2 linked regions of the Caenorhabditis elegans genome follow. The protein of the gene in region 1 interacts with the protein of each later gene in a pairwise test. Each region holds a gene or a part of one and is shown in the gene's direction. Other genes may lie near its edges.

The links. Proteins that work in one complex are often made in the same cells at the same time.
Region 2: the proteins of ZK945.7 (region 1) and F31E8.4 interact in a two-hybrid assay, tested with the Caenorhabditis elegans proteins (one large-scale study listed by BioGRID).

Annotation. Positions count from the first base shown.
Region 1 is NC_003280.10:10,105,124-10,112,385, reverse strand, and holds ZK945.7 (uncharacterized protein), read left to right. Parts: upstream 1-3,908; 5' UTR 3,909-3,981; coding exon 3,982-4,120; intron 4,121-4,163; coding exon 4,164-4,331; intron 4,332-4,378; coding exon 4,379-4,756; intron 4,757-4,799; coding exon 4,800-4,864; 3' UTR 4,865-4,913; downstream 4,914-7,262. Other genes in the region: lov-1 (Location of vulva defective 1), read left to right, coding at 14-879, 927-1,132, 1,178-1,473, 1,517-2,065, 2,109-2,483, 2,536-2,779, 2,838-3,107; ZK945.8 (PPP1R11/YPI1 family protein), read right to left, coding at 3,308-3,519, 3,567-3,684; ZK945.6 (Ovule protein), read left to right, coding at 5,484-5,514, 5,561-5,668, 5,721-5,888, 5,932-6,275; putative RING finger protein ZK945.4, read left to right, coding at 6,690-6,780, 6,829-7,120.
Region 2 is NC_003280.10:6,795,912-6,803,189, reverse strand, and holds F31E8.4 (Copper transport protein), read left to right. Parts: upstream 1-3,035; 5' UTR 3,036-3,045; coding exon 3,046-3,124; intron 3,125-3,206; coding exon 3,207-3,411; intron 3,412-3,461; coding exon 3,462-3,522; intron 3,523-3,610; coding exon 3,611-3,754; 3' UTR 3,755-3,947; coding exon of another isoform or gene 3,948-4,044; 3' UTR 4,045-4,079; downstream 4,080-7,278. Other genes in the region: T13C2.2 (uncharacterized protein), read right to left, coding at 3,948-4,044, 4,091-4,403, 4,445-4,541.

The DNA of each region.
Region 1 (7,262 bases):
TTTAATATTTCAGCCCTCTTGGCGAGTTGGAATACATGAGACTCTGGCTTGACGATGCTGGTCTAGATCACCGAGAGTCGTGGTATTGCAATCGAATAATTGTGAAAGATCTACAGACTCAGGATATCTACTACTTCCCTTTCAACAATTGGCTTGGAACTAAAAACGGAGACGGAGAGACTGAAAGACTAGCGCGAGTGGAGTATAAGCGAAGGTTTTTGGATGAGTCAATGAGTATGCATATGCTGGCTCAAACAATTTCCTGGTTTGCCATGTTTACTGGTGGAGGCAATCGGTTGAGGGATCGAGTGTCAAGGCAAGACTATTCTGTCAGTATCATCTTCTCACTTGTTGTGGTCAGCATGATTAGCATCACAATTCTGAAGAGCGATAATTCGATTATCAGTGATTCGAAGAGTGTCTCCGAGTTCACTTTCACTATAAAAGATATTGCATTCGGAGTTGGATTCGGTGTTCTTATCACTTTCCTCAACTCATTGCACATTTTATTATGCACCAAATGTCGTTCCCACAGTGAACATTACTACTACAAAAAACGAAAGAGAGAGGATCCGGAATTCAAGGATAATAGTGGTTCATGGCCGATGTTCATGGCTGGGATGGCACGTACCATCATAGTATTTCCAGTTCTCATGGGTCTTATTTATATTTCTGGAGCTGGAATGAGCTTGATGGATGATTTAGCCAACTCTTTCTATATCCGATTTCTGATCAGTCTGATTCTATGGGCAGTGGTGTTCGAGCCAATTAAGGGATTGATTTGGGCGTTTTTAATTTTGAAAACCAGAAAGAGTCATAAAATCATTAACAAGTTGGAGGAAGCATTGCTAAGAGCTAAGCCAGCTGAGACGTTCTTGAGTAAGTTTTATAAAAAGAAGCTATCAGAATTCATTACTGAAATTCAGGAAATCCCTATGGGAAAATCGAAAAAGGTCTGGGAACCGAAATTGCTGATGTTACAAAGCTCCGAGACACTGAAAACCGAAAAATGAGAGATGAACAGTTATTTATAACCATTCGTGATATGCTTTGTTTCTTTGCTTCTTTGTATATTATGGTTATGCTGACATACTATTGCAAAGACCGGCATGGATATTGGTATCAGTTGGAGGTAGACTTTAATGCACATAGATTTAGATGAACTTATTATTTTCAGATGAGCACAATCTTGAACATCAATCAAAAGAACTACGGTGACAATACTTTCATGTCAATCCAACATGCTGACGATTTCTGGGATTGGGCTCGTGAATCTCTGGCCACTGCTCTTTTGGCTTCTTGGTACGACGGAAATCCTGCATACGGGATGAGAGCCTACATGAATGATAAAGTTTCAAGAAGTATGGGAATAGGTACGATACGGCAGGTTCGGACAAAGAAAAGTGCAGAGTGTACGATGTTCAAGCAGTTTCAAGGATACATCAATGATTGTGGAGAGGAGTTGACAAGCAAGTGAGTAAAAATCTTCAATTTCCAACTAATAGAGAGGTTTCAGAAACGAAGAAAAAACTTTGTACATGCAAGCTGGTTGGACCGAACTGGAATCCGAGAATGGAACAGATGCTTCAGATGAATACACCTACAAGACTTCTGAAGAATTATCCACTGAAACAGTTTCAGGCCTACTGTATAGCTATTCAGGAGGTGGATATACTATCAGTATGTCTGGTACCCAAGCGGAAATCATCACTCTCTTCAATAAACTTGATTCGGAACGATGGATCGATGATCATACTCGAGCAGTCATCATTGAGTTCTCTGCATACAATGCTCAAATCAACTACTTTTCGGTGGTACAGTTGTTGGTGGAGATTCCAAAGTCAGGAATTTATCTTCCTAATAGTTGGGTTGAATCAGTAAGACTTATCAAATCAGAGGGAAGCGATGGAACTGTGGTCAAGTATTATGAGATGCTTTACATCTTTTTCTCAGTTCTCATATTTGTAAAAGAGATTGTGTTCTACTTGTATGGGCGGTACAAGGTGATAACAACAATGAAACCAACGAGAAATCCATTCAAAATTGTGTATCAGCTGGCACTGGGGTGGGTCTAATGAGAACTTCAGTTTCAAAAAGACATTTTATAGAAACTTCTCACCATGGAACTTCATGGACTTGATAGTTGGAGCTCTCGCTGTTGCATCGGTCCTAGCCTACACCATCCGCCAACGAACCACAAATAGAGCAATGGAAGATTTCAATGCAAACAATGGAAATTCGTACATTAATTTGACTGAACAGAGAAATTGGGAGATTGTATTCAGTTATTGTCTTGCCGGAGCCGTATTCTTCACTTCTTGTAAAATGATTCGAATCTTGAGATTCAACAGAAGAATTGGAGTATTAGCGGCTACACTGGATAACGCTCTCGGAGCTATTGTGTCATTTGGAATTGCTTTCCTGTTCTTCAGCATGACATTCAACTCTGTATTGTACGCAGTTTTAGGAAATAAAATGGGAGGGTGAGGATGAAAACTTAATTGAAAGAAATCAATTTTTAAAAATTGGTTCCAGATATCGGAGCTTAATGGCTACCTTTCAAACAGCATTGGCTGGAATGCTTGGAAAACTTGATGTTACCTCTATTCAACCGATTTCTCAATTTGCGTTTGTTGTGATCATGCTTTATATGATTGCCGGATCAAAGCTCGTCCTGCAACTTTACGTCACTATAATTATGTTCGAGTTCGAGGAAATTCGTAATGACAGTGAGAAGCAGACCAATGATTACGAAATAATCGATCACATAAAATACAAGGTATTTATTTTTCAAGCTCACTATTAGATGTTCTTTAATTTCTGTTATTTAATTTCAGACAAAACGTCGCTTGGGTCTTCTTGAACCAAAAGATTTTGCTCCAGTTTCAATTGCTGACACTCAAAAAGACTTCCGTCTATTCCACAGCGCTGTTGCCAAAGTCAATCTGCTTCATCATCGTGCCACCAGAATGCTCCAAACTCAAGGTCAATACCAAAACCAAACAGTCATCAACTACACACTCTCCTATGATCCTGTCTCTGCTATTCACGAAACTGGACCAAAGAGATTCCAGAAGTGGCGGCTAAACGATGTGGAGAAAGATTGATTTTTGAGGGCTACCTAATTTGGATATCAAGAATAAATAATTGTGTTAATAGTTTGTTTTTCAGTTTTTTTTTCATTTTTATGACCGCAGAAAAGTAATATTCAATACAAAAACATAAGAACAAAGGCATGATGGGTCATTTAGATTAATTTACAATAAAATCTACATAAATTTCCTAATAATTTTTAAATCTTCGAGTTTCAACAATGATCACATCCACAATTTCCCTTATCTTCATCTTTATCGCTACCATGTCCTCCTTGTGGCTTTTGCTTCTTCTCTGGAAGAGTATGTCCACGACAGTGCTCCGTCTCATGCTCCTCCGGCTCCCAAGTTGACGGATCATCCCAGACACGAGGCGGAGTGTAGATGCAACAGCAATTGGATTTGAGACGTCCCATGTGTTCGTTATCTAAAGTTTAAGTATTTTTCAAGACTTTTTAATATAAATTCACTCACCAATTACTCCCGCTCCCCAAGTGACACGTGGACGCTCAACTGGAGCTCTCAGGCGGAGCACAAGCTGCTCTCCTTCTTCGTTGGTTTGACAAGTTTCCGTTACGACGGGGGCTTGCATCGTACGACTGTGTAGTTGATGTACGAAATGAATAAAACTTTGAATTTTTTCCCTGGAATCGTGGACTTACACTTTTATTTATTTGACAATTTATATATATTTAAAATGCCATGATTCCACTATAAAAAGTTCAAATTTCAAAAAAATTTATAAATTTCAAAAAAAAAATTGAACTTTTAACGTGAACTTTTGAATTCCCCTTACCTCCCCCTTGCCACACTAACAATTTATTGCTACATACTCGTCCGACAACCTCAACCGTCGGATTAAACAATCTGCTCAATTGATTGGTTAGCTATGGCTTCCTCGTTCGACAACCAAATGGATCAGGATGGAATGTGCTCCGTGTACTCTGCTCAGCCATCGGAGACAAATTGCTCCATCAATGAGGTGCTTGCCAAAGAAATTATCGCTGTCAATGAGACGCCAGATGATCGTAAGTTTTTATTGTCTTTTTTTTGGGAATATTGAGTTTACAGAAGCTGATTCTTCGATCTACCCAATCCCAAAATCAGAAACAAATGTGTCAGCTAGCGAAGGGTTCCAGCCATGTCAAGATATCAATCAATTCAATTTGTCCGTTTACTCTGCTCCAAAATCCGAGACCCCAGTGACCATGAATGAGAAGTTCGAGCGGTGCAAAGACTGTAAGTTAACTGCAACAACTCTATCTTGAAAAACCAAAAATTTTCAGTGATGAACGTTCTTGACTACTCTGTCTACTCAATGCCACCATCAGAAGCAAATGTTACAATGAATGTTGCAAGCTTCTCGGAGTACACTGCCCTTGCCTCGGAGACCAACGTCACAATGGCTGATGTTCTCAAGAACGTTGCTCAGGATTTGGCGTCAGAGCACACTGCAAAATCAGCTCATCCAACATTCGACACCACCGCCTACGTAGAGCGCCTTCAAGCCGAGCTCGGGATTCCGGATAGCAAAGTGATTGGATTGGAGTGCAGCAATTTTTCGAATGCGAAGATCATTGATTCAATTGAATGCCTTCATCAGTTGGACAAATTCCAACCAATCCCGGTGGATTTCGATCAGAATCCTGATTTTGGAAAAACTGGTAAGAGTGAAGTTTATTTAAGAAATAATATTTTCAATTTCAGCCAAATCTGTGGAAAGCTACCTCTTGCGTTCATCCAATGCCAGTTCAATCCATCACGAGATCTGAAGAATCGGAACAAATTATTGAACTTGGTCTATAAAAAATGTCGAATCATTTTTGTTGTTGTCTATGCATTCGTAATTTCTTGGTTTTTTGTATAGCAAATTTTTTGATGACTATTACGATAGTTCATGGAAACGAGACTTGTGCCTGGCCGCCTTTTGCACACATGAAAGCGAGGCGGACAAAATGAGCCCCGTCATGGCTCCCGGGTTGAACACCTAACAAGACGGGAATTCTTCTAAAAAGAGTTGTCTTATCCCTATAAATCTGAAATTTGCATCAATTCTTCACCCGCCCTTGTTGCGATCTACCAGCCTCGTGGTTCTAAGTTACTTCTACCATGCTATTTAATGTTAACTGTACATAAAATGTGGTGCTTCTTCTCAATTTCCATTATTTCCTACTTTTTGAGAGAACTGTTCGAAAGGAGTTGCCTCTGTGAGCATCTATAAATTCTTTGTACAAGTTTTCACCAATCACGTGGCAACCGTGTTCTTTAAATTTTTATAAAATTAAATGTTTTCACGTCTTTCCTACTAATGCCTCAATGTTCATTTTCTTATATTCAAAATTTCATTTCAAAAAAATTTTCAAATCGATCACATCTCGAGAGATCATAATCATGGAGTGTTCTCAGGAAGATGTCGTCAATGGTAATTTTACTGAGTTTGTCATGCCGTCTGAACCGTAGAATTTCAGATTTCATTGCTCTCGAAAAGATTGGTTCAGAAGTGGATATCAATTTGGATGGAGTCATCAAAAGCAAGGAGTGTAGTAACACGAACGAAGCAGATATTATTAGTAACTGTGAGTTGCCTTTAAACGATTTCAGATGATCTTGAATCACCAGATTTTTCAGTGATAACCGCAATCGAAGAATCTTTGAGTTGTACATCGGTCTGCACAGCTGTATCATTGGAGACAGTGGCACAAAAGTTGGATGCCTATGCAGATCCTTCTTTGAATACTCAGATGTCTTTCAGTACAGCATCGGATTTGAGTTCTATGGAACAAGATTATGTTAAAGGTGGGATTCCGTCTCAATTAAATTTTAAAAAATTTATTTTCAGCTTCAGATGATCCTTTCGACCTCAATCATCAACCGTCGCCGCTCCAAGTCTGGCGTGATCAAGGCAAAATCACCGGATTTCAAATGATGTGTGATGATCAGAAGGTTACTGTAGTTGATTCTCTGGAGTGCTTAGCTCAATCGGAGCAACATTTGGAACCAGTTTACTTCGATCCACGTGTCAACCTTGCTATTCCGTGCCCGCCAGATGATTTTGAGATTCTTGAAGACTATGGTTCAACATCCAATGCATCAGTCAATTCGGATGACGCTTCAACCGCAGAACTTGGTCCGACGTCTGAAGAGTTTGAAGAATGGGTTCGGAAAATTGAACAGAACTATTGAATAGCTATTTGATAAAATACATTTTTTCTCATTGAAGATAATAGTTTTGCATATCTGACTCTGCGTCTCCAAAGTCTAAAACGAGTTGAAAACAACAACTGCCTAGGCCCCCTGTCGCCTCGCGTGTGCACATTATACTCTTTCTACTTTTGTTCCTCGCGCTCTCTTTTTCTAGTTTTCGAACACTCTCTGCATATCAAGAATATTCAAAGTGTTTTCTTTCTCTGTTTGATCTCCGGAAATTGCTCCAAATTTACACAAATTTGTGGTCAATTGGTGTCATCGCGCTGTTTCTTGTTTCGTATTCGTTTTTCGTATTTTAAACGAACATTTTCGTTTTCAACAACGACAATAACGAAATTTCCCATTCATTTCATACACTCGAATATTTTTTCTTCGTTTCCAGAACTTGCCATGAATATGCTCCGCTGCTTTCCGGAGTGTGGGATTTGCGGGCAGGAGTATTCAGAAGACGAAAAGCTCCTAATCCCTAGAATTTTGACTGGTACACCGTGTGTTTTGATTCTTAATTAAAAATTATTTTATCTTCCAGAATGTGGTCACACGATTTGTACAGGATGTGCAGGAAAAATAAAAGGACAGTCTTCGATAATCGCATGCCCATTTGATCGAATTGAGACGAGAATTTGGAAAAAAGATGTGACGAGACTCAAAAAGAATTTTAGTATTCTGGAAATCAAACAAGAGGTGAAAGATCGAAAGAACCGAGTAATTTCGGAAAAGAATGAGAAAAAGGAGAGGAATAAGAATGGAGTCTGTGATGAGAACACGAATCATCACGCTTCGAATTATTGTGAGACATGCGACGCCGATTTATGTGAAGAGTTAGTTGAAATATTATCAGTTTCACAAGATTTTGACATGGCTTTTTAAAGGCGCACTCATTTATTTAGATGAGTCTCGGCGCGCAAGAAAAAGTTTATGGTAGTTTTTTTTTCAATTTTTGCGGTCCAGAATAAATTTTAA
Region 2 (7,278 bases), 3.3 Mb from region 1:
GAAAATTTTCAAATGGTCTACAAAAGATTCTTGGCCAAATACTCTAGAAGTATTAACTTGATTGACAAAATAATTTTGATTTTGCAAACTCTTCAAATTCACTAACGATGTAAGTCTTGTACTTATTCTTAAAATTTTGTACTTATTCAGGCATGCCTACTACGCACCTTTCAGTACTTTTGTGGTAGACAAAGGCCACAGGCAGTGTTTGTGCCTACATGAAAAGCCTACTTACAGCCGTTTTCCACTTTTGGCACAATTCGACCTCTCATGCTCATCATCTCCCTCTAATTACGTGTTTATGTTACAATACAATGCGATTGAGCCAGTACAATAACAATAACAAGTGTGAACGTGTTGAGAGCGACACGCGTCTAGTAATAGTCATTGTGCAACTGAGCAATTTGAACCTTTCCACAGATGTTCACCACTTCCCCAACAACTTGTGCATTTTTTGTGCATATCACTGTACCCCTTCAAACGTTTTAAAGCTTGGAGAGAAAATAGGGAAAGACGACTGGCTGACCTGACTAAACGAAGAAATTGAGCATCGAGTAACGAAGACTATTATTGCATTATAGACGGCAGAAGCGCTAGAAGGCTTTTAACTTATTATGTTGAGTAGACATACTCACACAAACTTATTAGCAACAAGAGGAGTAAGACCTGCTGTGCAAAATATTGTTGCCACGTCATCAAATACAAGACAAAGAATATTAAGAAAAGTTCCTTCCGTTTACATGTCACACTTAATTATAACTGGCTCTATGGGTACTTTGAACATTTGACACCTCATGACTTGCTCTATTGTTTCTTGAGTCACCGCAAAAAGGTGTCCTGTGGTGAGCTCCAATGTAACATAGTTCCAGAAGAATTACTTCATCATCACTCCTCCCTCATACTCGTGGTGTTAATACAAAAACTTATGCATATGCAATACAGCAATTATTCCCAATTAGTTAGCGGATTTCACTACCGTAGAAGAAGTAGTCGTTGTATTGAAGCTTCTATTTCATCACAATTGGCATGCTGTTTTGTCGGTATATAGCTCATCATTGAAAACGCGCTCATTATTCTTACGAAAATCTGTGTGATTTTAGTGGAAAACAAGATTTGATGAGAAGATGTTTTGCAAATTAGTGAGAAGAGAATTCTGCAATTAATGAAGGATTTTAAGCAAAGGAGATTTTTCAGAAAGTAGAAGAAAATAGTTATTAAACATTTGAAAAATTCAGATTCAAATTTTCAAAAAGCAAATTCTCACACTCTTGACAGTCTTTTCAAAAAAATAAACATCTTCAAGTATTTTCCATGTACAAATTTGATAAAGAACGGACCAGCAGGAAGCCAGCCATTATCAGCCCCTAGTTATACCTGCTTGTTGGGTTCATTATTTAAAAAGAAGGGTTCATATTTAAAAACTATGCACACTCCCACTATTACTAAACTTGCCTGAACTCGATGCATGACCGCGTCACTTGTCCCAAAATATCACTAATGGATGGATTATTTAAGATAAAATTTTTAAATGTAGTCAGAAAAAATTTCCTAGTTATTTGCTAACACGATAATCGTATACATTTCAAATTATATGTACATTCTAAAATGCGGGAACCATAATGACCCTTTCGTATTCTGATCACCACCTTTAGCACTAATTCCAAATGATTCCCACTTGAACCCGTGTGCAGGTGAGAAGAGTCGGCAAACCGATAAACGCATTTTCAAAAACTGTATCCGAAGGATTAGTGTTGAGATAAAGTAAGTGCGTCTGGTGCGACATCTCTCTTGCTTTCCGTAATCTTTTGACAGACAGCTCTTCTTTTTGATTGGGATGTGTAGCAACAACTAATGAATTGAGCAAATATTGCACTAATGGCACGCATGTGCCGACACACTCACAGACACCTACAAAAACAATAGAATAACATACTGTTGGATTACGGTCTTCCTAATTGGATGAGCAAATGGGAAAACTTATTGAGAACTGTTGTTGCGATGTGAAAGGGGGTGTGCTTTCTAGATCAATAAAACATTATTAAATTTCTGGTTCACCTCAATTACTTAATGATTGCCGACATTTTTTGGAATTTATGTGTAACAAAGTTGTTACGGTAGAACACATTACAGCTGTGCAACATTTTGGCATTACCTCGATAATTTATGAAACGTTCTCAGTAATAGCTCAAAACCCATTTTGACCGTAAACTTCGAACTCAACGTGTTGATAAATAATTTTTTGAAAAATCATTCTGGGCCTAGTACGTAAACGCATTATCGCAGACTTTTCCCAGAATTCTGAAATTTTATTAAATTATTGTGCAATGCGAATTACCATATTTTTTAACTCAGATTGCAACTAATTTTTCGACTTGAATCAGCATAAACTAATGCTCGAAATAACTTCGCATTCCGTTTTGATAAAATGTGTTCAAACTATTTGTATATTCTTATAAAATCTATCATAGGTTCAAACTTTTCATTTTCAAAACCAATATCAATTTTACTACTCGAGAAATACTGAATGAATTATAAACAAAATTTGCAGGTTAATTCAATAGTGTTATCACATCAGGAAGTTGTATCACACACCGTTATTGTTTACATTCGTTCTCAATGAAAGTAACAAAATGTCATCTGTCTCTCTGACTATCAAACCATTTTCCCACATCCAAATGCCCTTTTCCTGCCTGCTCGCTTGCTTGCCTAGCGTTGGTGATAGACTTGGGTATTGCATGGAGAAATGAGAAGACACAGACGGAGAATGACTCGTAGTCTGTCTCGTAAATCGACACGATAAAATAACTAGACATTTCTCTTCTCTCTGACCATTCCCATTCATCCGATTTCTCTCGATTCTGCATTGATTCTTACTCTTTCTCGTTTCATTTTTTATATTTTCCGAACGTTTTTTTTTTTGAAAATAGCATGTGATATGCTTGTGAAGTGTAAATAAACTTTATCTAATCAATGGCCCGTTCGGTTGTAATGTCTTCTTGCTCTTTTTCAACTTCTCTTTAATCCAAAAATATCGATTTGCAGAAAATGGACATGGATATGACTCTGCACTTTGGAGAACGCGAGAAGATTCTCTTCAGCTGGTGGAAAACTGGATCTCTGTCTGGTAAGTCTATATACTTCGGACACATTCAAATTTGCAAAACAATTAAAAATTAAGTTGATGAAATACACAAATAAATTTCCAGGAATGGCAGTCTCCATGCTTATAACCTTCCTTCTCTGTATTCTCTACGAAGCCATCAAATCATTCCGTTACTTCCTCGCAGTATGGAATAATCAAAAGAGACAACAGAGACATGCAGAAGCATCCATTACAAATCCACAAAATAGTGGAGGAGACAATATTTCTGAAGATTCTATTCACATCGCACCACTTGTTCAGTTATCTGGGTATGTCTTACAAGAAGTTTTTGATAGAAATCGTATTATTGAAATTTCAGATTTACAAAACGGCTGTTCACCTCGTACCGGCTTGCTCAAGGAGCTCTCTACGGACTTCAGGTAATTATAACGTTTAATTGTATAAAAGTGAATTTTCTATAAGACAATATTTACGAATTCTTAATATTTCAATAATCTAAATTTTCAGGCTCTCCTTGCTTACACTCTTATGCTGATTGCTATGACTTACAACATGAACCTAATTCTCTCAATTGTTGTCGGAGAAGCTGTTGGATATTTCTTGTTCACTGGAAACCCACTTGTTGAGCAACATCTCACAGATTGTTGCTGATCTTTCATGTAAATTTCACTCTAAAATCTCGACTTTTTCCATCATTCCAAACACATTACGACCAAAAATATTAAATCTTCATGTATTCTGTTGTTACTGGTACCTCACCCATGTTTGCTTTGTTTTTTCAATTTTTCTTTGTAACATTTTCAAAAAATCAATTCATTCAAATATCTCATAACTTATTCATACATTACAATTTTCTTTGTTCATTGACTAGATCGATTTGCACGTTTCGAAGTTGGCCATTTGGCATTCTTTGATTGTAAATTGGGCGAATTTGTTGTTGTCTGAATATTAAAAAATAAATATTTGCAACTTTAATTCACATTTTACCGATAAGATCCAGTAATCTCTTCCGGAGATAGAATTCTTTCAATTACTTTTGGAATAATTGCTGTTGGTGCTGGAGCATAAGTACCGTAACCTGCCGATGGAGGCATTGTTGGCATTGCGCCAACTATTGAATCAACTTTTGATGGCTGAATTGCAATGTTTCCAGTGTTTCTAGTTGGTGGAAGTTGAAGATTTGATAGATCTCCTTGAATCTTGATTGAATTTGCTGGTCCAGTGGATGCAAACCGGTCAACATGAGTATCATATTTATCAAGAGCTCCATCATTCTGTCGGCGCGTCGGTAGAAATGAATCTAAAACATAAGTTTTATTGAACTAGATAACATTTTGGTACCTTGGAAGTTTTTCACAGGAGACTGCCGAATTTGGTTACCACTTGGAATTAGAACTTGTGGTAGATTTTGGGAACTGTTTTCAATGAACTTTGAAAGCTGAAAATATTTAAGAAATAATTTTACATTTTTGATAATTCAGAACACATTTCGTTTGGCAAAAATCTTTGCGAAAAAGATAGAGCCCAATGCCAAGTTGGTTGTTTTTGGCTTCATCAAAAAGCGACAAAAATGGTTATGCTTTTATGCAATACGAAAATTTTGCAACATTTTTCATTGCAAAAAACCAACTAATTGTTGAGTTACACAGAGTCAAACTCATTTTACCAAAAACCACTGAAATTTTTGAGATCGTTTATGCTCTAACAGTCTTAACCCAATTTTCGTTGAGTTTCAAAATAATCATGTTGTTAAACAATAAGTAAAAAATATTTTGCGACATTTCATCAATTATAAGTTTTTTCATATTTTCATGTTCACCTAACAAGGGAAGGTTCTGAACTCGTTATCGGACTTCGTTACGCCACTATATACATTCGATAGAGGATAGTTACAGATGATCCCTCCAAAAAATTTAGCTGCTTCAGAGCAGGTTTGGCCAAGTTGTGACGTCTTGAAGTTTGGTGCTGAAATTCCTCATATCAAGTGATATTTCAATGACTACCACGCTGCAGAAACACCAGTGAACTCACCACTCTCAATTAGCGTTAGCAAACATGGCTTGGTGGCCGAGTGGTAGTGGCGTGAGTTTCGAGGTGTGGTATTCGTGGTTCGGTTCCCCGTCAACATAAACTTTTTTTTTAATTTTTAAAGTCAATCCATTTCCAATTAGAACACATCTATAAACTTTTTCAAGTGGGAAAATATGCAGATATTATCCCTATGAATCAAATGCGTCAATTCTCCAAATTTTTCCGATTTTTTTTTCTCAATATGTGTTATAGTTAAAAGCACAATAAAACAGATGTTTAAAGTTTATGTAAAAAACAAACGAACGATGCCAATATTAAAAAAAAAAACAAAAGCAACATATAATATACTCAACAATGGCTTTTAACACTTACACTTATGAGCTGGGAAGCCGCATCCAACCCAGTGGTTAAAGCATAAAACCTTCTTACAGTATGGGCAAAGAAGAAAAGCCGTATCTTGACACATCGTATCTCTCGTTTTCTTTTGCGAACAGTATCCAGAAACTTTGAAACAAAATTTGGATGGAGTTTCCACTTTGACATGTTGGTCATCTATGTATCCTCCTTGGATCCAGCCGTACTTCCAGCATGATTGGAAAATTGGTGCACGAAAGACACGGTACACTGCAGATATCACGCGAAGCAGGTTGTCACGCTCTGACGTCTTGAAGGTGATACCGGAGTAGATGATGTACGCGTTCACCTTTTTGACGAAATTCTTCAACGGACAGAAAAAGTAAAGATCGCAAGGTTGAATAAATGATGTAGCTCCTGGTGGAATAGATCTCACATGTACTGTATTTCCGGATAATGCTGCAGCTTGAACATCCCCTTCGTTTTTCCAAGCAGGCCAAGCGTCTAGAAGCTGGACAACCTCGGTTGGCATCGAAGGATCACAAACAGCGGATTCAACCCAGTCGACCATTAGTTGTTTATTCATAATGTGGGACGTATTAGCTCGGATGATCAGATTGTCTGGTGAGAAGTGCCCTTTTTTGGGAAATTTTCCACCTTTCTCCTACAATTTAATAAAGTTGCATAATGTAAAACGATAGTCACAAGACTGTGTGGCAATGTTGTGCATATTGTCAAACATACCTGCAGAACCACGTACAACTTTGGGGCTAACTTTCCGGAAGCGCTTAACATGGGAAGGATTGTGTAAGAGTGCGTGAGGGCATCTTTGGACTGTACCAGTCTTTCAACACGTTTAACACCTTTTGGTGCGAGCGTCCTAAAAATTTTAATGGTCTTTGAAAAACTCGGTTTAGAATTTACCGTTTGCAATATTGTTCTTTCGTGAACCCACTTTGGTCACAGTTATAAACGACATCAGGATCCAAAGTTGCCAATTCTGCTTTAACTTCCTCCACGAACTTTTTGGCAGCTTGTTCTGTGAGCTCTTTATTGACGTAGTTGGCACGAGTGATGAAAGTAGTTACGTGGCGAGAAACGAGACCGTTTGTCTTTTTCCACTTCTTCAGCCAGCCATCGCTTGCTTGAAATCCTTCAATATGGACGTGCTCATCATTCAATTGCACTGCAAGACGGCGTAGCGTGAACTTGTCAATCGAAATTCCTTCAAAATGTGTTTTAAGTCTGACAAAGAATGCACTACTTGTCGTGCAAACACAGTAGTTTTTCAATAATAGGAATACTCACTGTCATCGATTGCCTCAAAAACTTTTGTACGAAGAAGTCCAGAAAGTGTCGAAAATTGTGAAACACGTGAGCATCGAATTTCGTCTTAAAAACCCAGTTTTATACCGAATATGAAGCTGTTAATACTCACTATTTTTAGCAAAAACGCGAAGTTTCTGCATGTCATGTTGCGTTTTAATAAAACGATACCTACGCTGCATTGAAGCAAAAGATCGTAGTTTCTTTGTTCTGACATCAGTCATAAATTCAACGGCACTATGCACCTGTAAAAAGTAATGTATTTTAAATTTTATTTATTAGCCAATTATTTATCAGCGAATGTTGAGTAATTGATAAATTCTAAACACTTACCATTGCAACATCAATGGCAGCTCCAGAAGAGAAGTTCACTTTATCGGGTACTACGCAAGCGGATGGATCATCGTCATCAGGTTTCCAGTCCTCTTCATCAACAATTCCTCCGAATACTTCTTCTTCGTCGT